Linked DNA regions of Arabidopsis thaliana. The protein of the gene in region 2 interacts with the protein of the main gene of each other region in a pairwise test. Each region holds a gene or a part of one and is shown on either strand. Other genes may lie near its edges.

What was found.
Region 1: the proteins of AT5G57100 (region 2) and MLO5 interact in a protein complementation assay, tested with the Arabidopsis thaliana proteins (one large-scale study listed by BioGRID).

Annotation. Positions count from the first base shown.
Region 1 is NC_003071.7:14,242,677-14,246,601, forward strand, and holds the start of MLO5 (Seven transmembrane MLO family protein), read left to right. Parts: upstream 1-2,274; 5' UTR 2,275-2,461; coding exon 2,462-2,605; intron 2,606-2,690; coding exon 2,691-2,748; intron 2,749-2,832; coding exon 2,833-3,038; intron 3,039-3,127; coding exon 3,128-3,244; intron 3,245-3,325; coding exon 3,326-3,383; intron 3,384-3,469; coding exon 3,470-3,558; intron 3,559-3,649; coding exon 3,650-3,724; intron 3,725-3,817; coding exon 3,818-3,906; intron 3,907-3,925. Other genes in the region: AT2G33655 (F-box and associated interaction domains-containing protein), read right to left, coding at 239-370, 662-811, 1,723-1,893.
Region 2 is NC_003076.8:23,107,061-23,110,985, forward strand, and holds the start of AT5G57100 (Nucleotide/sugar transporter family protein), read right to left. Parts: upstream 1,824-3,925; 5' UTR 1,381-1,823; coding exon 1,290-1,380; intron 1,096-1,289; coding exon 935-1,095; intron 837-934; coding exon 628-836; coding exon of another isoform or gene 534-627; coding exon 440-533; intron 324-439; coding exon 157-323; coding exon of another isoform or gene 59-156; coding exon 1-58. Other genes in the region: ACA8 (autoinhibited Ca2+ -ATPase), read right to left, coding at 2,669-2,679, 2,869-2,978, 3,098-3,189, 3,284-3,391, 3,476-3,610, 3,695-3,740, 3,843-3,925.

The DNA.
Region 1 (3,925 bases), on a different chromosome or scaffold from region 2:
GTCTAATCGACTTCTCTATTTACTATTTAGATAAAATATTTAAATAAATACAGAAAAAGGGTATCAACAAGGTTGGTCTATGTAGTATAGTGGTAACTGGTAAGCCCCGATCCGATTACGATTCAAAACCAGTAGAACTACACAATGAACAAACAAGCAAAATTTTACAACAAAGAGATAGAAAAGAACACACACCACTCCCATCATATAGTGGTTTCATAAATCATATCAACAACCGCTAAGAACTCACGGCACTAGGCTCTATCTTAGTCGTAACCCAAATCTCCATCACATAGCCTTCAAAAGGTTGAAATAAAACTGCAAGCTGCTCTTCTCCAAATGCAGATAGAGTCGCAATATCATAATTAGCCTCAAACGGCAGAGGCAGAGTCACGTCTCAGTTTACAATTACAATTACAATTAAAATGTTAAATAAGATTTACGTAGCAACAAGGTCGTTGTAGTATAGTGGTAAGTATTCCCGCCTGTCACGCGGGTGACCCGGGTTCGATCCCCGGCAAAGGCGTCTTTTTTATTTTGAAAATTTTCCACAAATCCGCTGTGTCGTTCATCTTTCTACATTTCCGATTCAAAACCATTAGAGCTACACAAAGAACAAACAGAGCAAAAGTTTCCAAAACATAGAAACAAAAGAACACACTACAATCAACCTCATAGCCTGAAAAGACGATCGTATCTCCTTCATAGCATCCTTCATAGCATCCTTCATTGCATTACTGAAATCAACAACAATAAGAACACGCAGCCAAGGAATAGAAAACAACAAGAATGAATTACGGCAAAACTTCTTCTGGGACTGATTATAGCACAAGGGCTAGAGGAAACCCATTGACATGGTTATTTGACTCTCAACACCACACCCACACCAATTCCTTTCAGGTAATTTTGTTTCTTATTTCTCTTTTTCTTTTTTTTCTTGGTAATGTGACAGTTTTGTTGGTTTAATTTGTAACATATCTGAGTAGAAAGAATTTTAAAAACTGTATAATTCACCGGAAATATTCTTCAAAATAGCAAAAAGAAAATGGTGTCACCAAGAGAAAGTTATCTCATAGGAAGAGAAGAAGACTCCTTTACTTACAAGTTTAAAAGAAACATTAATTTTTCAAGTGAAGCTTTCCTTCATCATGTAGTGCTCTTAGAGGAGTACAAAACAACAAAAACGAACATGTATGCTTCAAGTTGTCAAAGAAGGCTGAGTTCATCAAAAGGAGTTGGAACTAAATAAGCTCAAGAAAGACTTTTTTTTTATCTATGTACAATGTATAATTATATAGCATATAGCATATAACCCCACCCCATATGCTTAGCAGTTAGCAAGCTCTGTCGAACTACATCAGCTTTGTATGTCTTATGGCGGCAAATTTCTTCTATGTATGTTTCTAACAAAGTTTGTTACTTGTTAAGGTTGATTCTGCCTCTGTTTTCTTTCATCGGAGTATACAGTAGCTGGCTGAGTGACCACTTGCCAGCTAGCTAATTGGTCCTGGTTCTGATATTAGGAAAACAAGCAGAATTGATGTCAAACTGTAACAAACAAAAATTTCTAACGTTTCTTATCAAATCCAAAACTCAAAAGAACACTGAACTTGGAACATAAGAACATGTAAGAAAGAAATCCCCTTTTTCTGTATGTAAGAAAGAACTTTGGAACATAAGAACATGGAGATTGACACTATTTAAATAAACCCTGTTCCACACCTTCGCGATCCCAAGAAACTCTCCTTCCCTTGCAGCTTCTGCTTTACTAATGTGCTTTGATAAAGCGTTCCACGTTTTGCAAGTCACTCGGACTTCTCTCATCGATTTCACTGGAACCCTTGAGAGTATTTCCTCTACCAATTCCCGGGGAAGATCGGACATCTTCTCCATATTTTTTTCTTTTATGGTTTCAACAATCAACAAAGATCGTTGTAGTAGAATTAGGGTTTCTTCTTATATCCCACGTCTCAGTTTATAGATTAAAATTAAATAAGTAAATAAAACTAACGTAGCAACAAAGTCGTTGTAGTATAGTGGTAAGTATTCCCGCCTGTCACGCGGGTGACCCGGGTTCGATCCCCGGCAACGGCGTATTTTGTTTTCCTGTTTTATTTTTTTGAACTCTGCTTAAATATTTTTATTGAAATTTCCCATAAATCCGCAAAGTCGTTCATCTCCCTACATTTCCGATTCAAAACCATTACAGCTACACAATGGACAAACAGAGCAAAAGTTTCCAAAACAAGAAAAATAAAACCCAAAAAAAAAAAAAAAAAAAAAAAAAACCAGAAAATCACCATCACCGGAATCCGTCTAGCGGAACGACGGAGACATCTTCCTTCTTTGCATGTTACCGCCGTTTCTTGGCCGTAGAAGATATAAATATTGATAGTCGTATATAAAAAAAAAACATATAAGACAAGGTACATAAGAAAAAAACAATTTCGTTAAAGAAAAAATGGCTGGAGGAGGAGGTGGTAGCACTTCTGGAGAAGGTCCTAGAGAGCTCGATCAGACACCGACATGGGCCGTCTCCACTGTTTGTGGCGTTATCATCTTGATCTCTATCGTTCTAGAGCTCATGATTCACAAAATCGGAGAGGTAATAAAAACTAACACAATTTCTCAAAGATTGCTCTACATTTTATGATTTCTTATTACACCAGTCATTGATTGTTCTTTCGCAGGTTTTCACTGAAAGAAGGAAGAAAGCTTTGTACGAAGCGCTTCAAAAGATCAAGAACGGTACCAAACCCTCCAATTGATTTTTTTTTTTTTTTTTTTCGTGGGTTACAAGTTTTAGAACTTTTTGTGTTATTGATTTTGCAGAGCTTATGGTTTTGGGATTCATTTCTTTGTTATTAACATTTGGACAAAACTACATAGCAAGTTTGTGTGTGGCGTCAAGATACGGCCATGCGATGTCCTTTTGTGGTCCATACGATGGTCCAAGTGGTGAGTCTAAGAAGCCAAAGACTACCGAACACTTAGAACGTCGTGTTTTGGCTGATGCTGCTCCAGCTCAGTGCAAGAAGGTCAAAATCTTTCTATATATATTTTTTTTTTTGCTTAATTAGATAACATGGTTGAAATTGATGAAGATGAATGTTTTTGATGTATGCAGGGCTATGTACCGCTTATATCACTCAACGCGTTGCATCAAGTGCATATCTTCATCTTTTTCTTGGCTGTGTTTCATGTCATTTATAGTGCTATTACCATGATGCTTGGACGAGCAAAGGTATATTTGCATATATAATGTTTACTTAATGTCGTAGCAATGTGTATGTGTTTGTGAGATTTTGATTGTTGGATTATGCAGATTCGTGGATGGAAAGTTTGGGAGGAAGAAGTCATAAATGATCATGAAATGATGAATGGTTAGATTATTGAGCTTATAGTTACAGATGCCATTCACATTTCAAACAAGAATATCAATTTCTTATTACTTTGGTGTAATTTACAGACCCTTCAAGGTTTAGGCTCACACATGAGACATCATTTGTTAGAGAGCATGTCAATCCTTGGGCCAAAAATAGATTCTCATTCTACGTTGTAAGATTTTGATCGTTTGTTTTTATTATTCCATCTCTTGTTTCTATGTATCTAAAGCAAGAGAGACTTTCCTTGTTACTCTGTTTTGTAGATGTGTTTCTTTCGTCAAATGCTGAGATCTGTCAGAAAATCTGATTATTTGACAATGCGTCATGGTTTCATAAGTGTAAGTTCCTTGAGATTATGCAAAACCATTCTTTAATTAATTTCTCCCCAAAACATTGTTTGAGATATGTTTCCAAAATCCTCGGTTACTTAGGTCCATTTGGCACCGGGTATGAAGTTTAATTTCCAAAAATACATCAAAAGATCATTGGAAGACGACTTCAAGGTAGTCGTGGGAATAAGGTACATCTTAATACTTCTT
Region 2 (3,925 bases):
GAACGGAATCATCGATACAAGAAACAACAGAGTGATTGGCGTCGTTTTCCACATCAACCTGAATTAAAAAATAAAAATGAAGAGATGGTATTGAGAGATGTTGATACAGCTATATGAATGAGTGTGACTGAAAACAAACGAATCTGAATCACATACGCCAAAGCAGTCCAGTTTTCTCGTTGCTGCATATTAGACCACAAGATTTTGTTAGTTGCGCTTGGTATGATCCATGCGAATGCTACACAAGCACCAAACAGACTAAACTGTAAATCTGTTACAGTCGCAACCGCAACTCCCACAGATACAACTGTAAGTGATACCACCTGAAAAACATCAGCCACAAGGTTACTTACTATACCAAAGTTTTTCTCTTTGTTAACTCTATAAATCCAATTGACTACAAACAAATTGTGTGATAAAGAGAGAAAATCTCATTTACCTTCATGAAAGAAACTCTCTTTCTATACCACAAGAACTCTGCAAACACGATAGAAGGCGTAACAGCAATTTTCGCCATCTGGTAGAATCCAACACTGAGAAACAAAAACAACGAAGTGAGAAACAGTATGAGACAGAGCAATGTATGAAAACAAGGGAGAGCAAAAAAAGAGAGAATGTTTCCAAAACCTGTTATACTTAAGGCTAACATTAGCTAGTCCTGTAGAGAGTGACATTACAATGCCAAGAGTATAGAGCGGAAGCAACGATGATTTCGTGGAAGGCGGTGAAGCAGGAAGGAGCGAAAAGGATTTGAGAAGAGCCATTAGTAGATAAGCTACAATGTAGTGAATGAATGTGAGGAACACTGGAAACTCAAAGCCTATATTTTTAAGAACCTGCAATCAAAGAAGCAAAAAAAGCTGATTACTTTGATGTATTTAACACTAATGAAGATGTTAAAATGAGAGGTTGGTTAGTTAAAACTTAAAAGTACCCATTTGTTCATGAAGATAATGCTAATAGCAACAACGAAATTGAAAGTAAGAGCAACAGTTGGGCCACAGATACGATGTTGTTGTTGTTGCTGTCTCTTTGGAGTTTCCGGTGAACGGAATCTGTTGAATAACGATGCTCTCAAGTCCTCCAATGCTTTTCCTGAATTAGAGAAACCATTGTTACATAATCAAAATCAACTCTTTGGTGATAAAACCCTAATCTAAAAAAATTGGGGGTTTGCTATGATAAGATTGGATAATCAATCCTAAAAGGAACAAGAGATGTTTCAAAGGAAACGGTTATCAATCATAGAAGTCGAAATCGAAATTGAAAGTAAAAGTTTTGAAATTTACCTCGTTCACCAGCATCACTGTCTTTGCGTTTGAGGATCTTCTTCACATCTTGTCGAAGCCAAGAACTAAACATCTTAGGTGTCAGTAACATTTGTTGCTTGTTTCAAAAAGCTTTTTAGTTTGAGATTCGAATTCGAAACTCATAAGCCAAGAGGAGAGAAATCAACACTGACCCACATCTCGAAAAATCGTTCCTTTATGAGAAAGTGGAGAATCGAAAAAGGGTCTCTCTGTGTGTGTGGGGGTACTGACTACTGATGTTGTTGGTTTCTGAGATTAAGATTAGGGAGAAGAAGAAAGGAGACAAAAAGAGAGAAACACGTGGCGGAGATAACGGGAAGATGGAGATTGAAGAGAGTATTATTTTGGTGATTTGAGCAAATCACGGTTTCTTCACCGACCATTAAAAAAAACACAGAGGTAGTGAGTGTCTGGCTCTGTCACTTGAAAAGGAGAGGGAATGAGTAAACCAAACACTTTAGTAGTCTCTAGACTCTACTGTCTCTTCTTCTTGCTTTCACGCGTGAATTTTTTACCTATTTTATTTTTTCCGCGTTCTTTATTTTCAAAATAAAATTATAGAATGGGATAAACATTACATTAATTAACTATTCAACCGAGAAAAAGAAAAGAATATAATAATATCAGTCGACAGAAAAACAAAGGAAAGCTCTTTTGGCTTTTCATCGAGTGATTTCCGTATCCGATAATGAATATATGACGTGGCCAAACCTGTCTGACACGTAGGACCTATTTACGGTTTCTGTTAACCAGTTGTTCACAGTCTGTTCGATGTTTGTGTGGAATTGATTGATGTCTCCTTACATTCCAGATTCATATGCGGGTGTTGAATTGTTCGACATTAAAAATGTTTCCGGTGTTCGACATTAATCTTAAAATCGTGGTTGTTTTTAATTTTACAACAAACAACCTCGACTTTACTTCAACATTTTCATTAGTAATGCTTTGATTTATACTTCAATGTTTTCTCATGAGTATAACTTTCTTAACGACTATTGCATCCGTGTTCAGTAGGTGTAGTAATAATATGGCCAACAACGCTTTGCCACTTGAATAACTAGGTCACACTGAGAGTAAAAATTTTCCATTTTTTCGAATTTTGATTTCTTGGTTAAAATCTTTACCAGTAATGATTCGAAAGGTAGTCGATCATATTACAAAAAAAAAGACCAAAAAGAAAACCAGTAATCCAAAGTTGCTCGACCAACAAACCCCGAAAAACTGTACTTGGGGGGTTGGGTTTCCGAAAAATATCAATAAATCCATCATACCAAACCAAACGTTTTTTTTTCTGTTAGTCCTAAAAGAGTATCAAACAATCTCATCAGTGTCTGAGAGATAATAAACTGGCCTCCAAATCAGAGTGAACCTGAGAAAAAAATAAAAGCAAACTTGTTATTTTCAAATTTTCAAATTCATTTCAGTCCTGCATAAAGCTTAAACCAAATCCTTACTACAGTTTAAATTCAGGATAAGTTCTACTACACAAGCTGACCAACCCAAACTTTTCTTATGAATCTAGTTCAATTGATAATCACAAGCTGTAAGTTACTATTACCTTCTCCAGAAGAATTTTTCTTCTTGCCCCAGAATTTTAGTACTTTCAATTTGTTGCTTATAGGAGCTGCAGGCACCGGAATGAATTTCCCGACCAAAGCAAGAGGCCAACTGTTCAAATTACAAAGGTTCAACTATAACGTTAGTTATGTTTCAACAAGCATTGCACATATTATTTATAAATATGTATCAACATTTTCAATTGTAAACAATATTATAATGAAAGTGACCTGATAACACCGATGCCAACACAGATAAGCCATTGCTTCCAGTTTAGTTTCGTCGTGGAAGCGAATTTACCAAGGAACTCAACAATGATAACCTGGCAAACGAAAATAAGACGGTTTTGATTTAGAAATAAGAGTTTGTGAAATGTAACTTACTAAGTTTTTCTGATACACCAAATCATTATTTACCTGGAGCACAAGAGTTATGACTATTATTCCCATAAAGAGACGATTCTTGATCACACCTTTGAAGATGTTCTTCTCATCTGGTTTACGAGCATTGAACTCATTGAAAGCCTGTAAACAAAGAGTTCGATTAACATTTACGTTGACATTCTGGTTTTAATACAGTAAGGGAAGACTTTGATTTAATTAACTCACTTGGCAGAGAACAAAGGCGTTGAAGATTATTGTGTTCTTCACTCTAGTGGCGTGTTCATGCACTTCATGCTCCAGGCCAAGTATGCTTATGCCTCGGAAATTGAGTGTTAACAATACACTCACTTGATAAATAGCCTGAAAGAATCACATTTCAACTTTTTAGTAATATATAAGACGGGGTGATTTCAAATAACAGAGTCTATTCACTGATTTTTTTACCTGGATCAGCAAGTTTCTCCACATGATGTTGGTAATAAGAGGTTCTCTGCAAAAAGAAGTCGAAGCAAAGAAAGATAACAATAAGTCTATGTCTACAAAACCAAATGTTTTATTAAGTTTGAATGAGAGAAGGCGGAAAAAACAGTACTTTCTGCCAACTGGAGGCCTCCCCATGAGGTGATCAGTGGGTGGTTCAGTAGCCAAAGCCAATGCTCCAAGAGTGTCCATTAT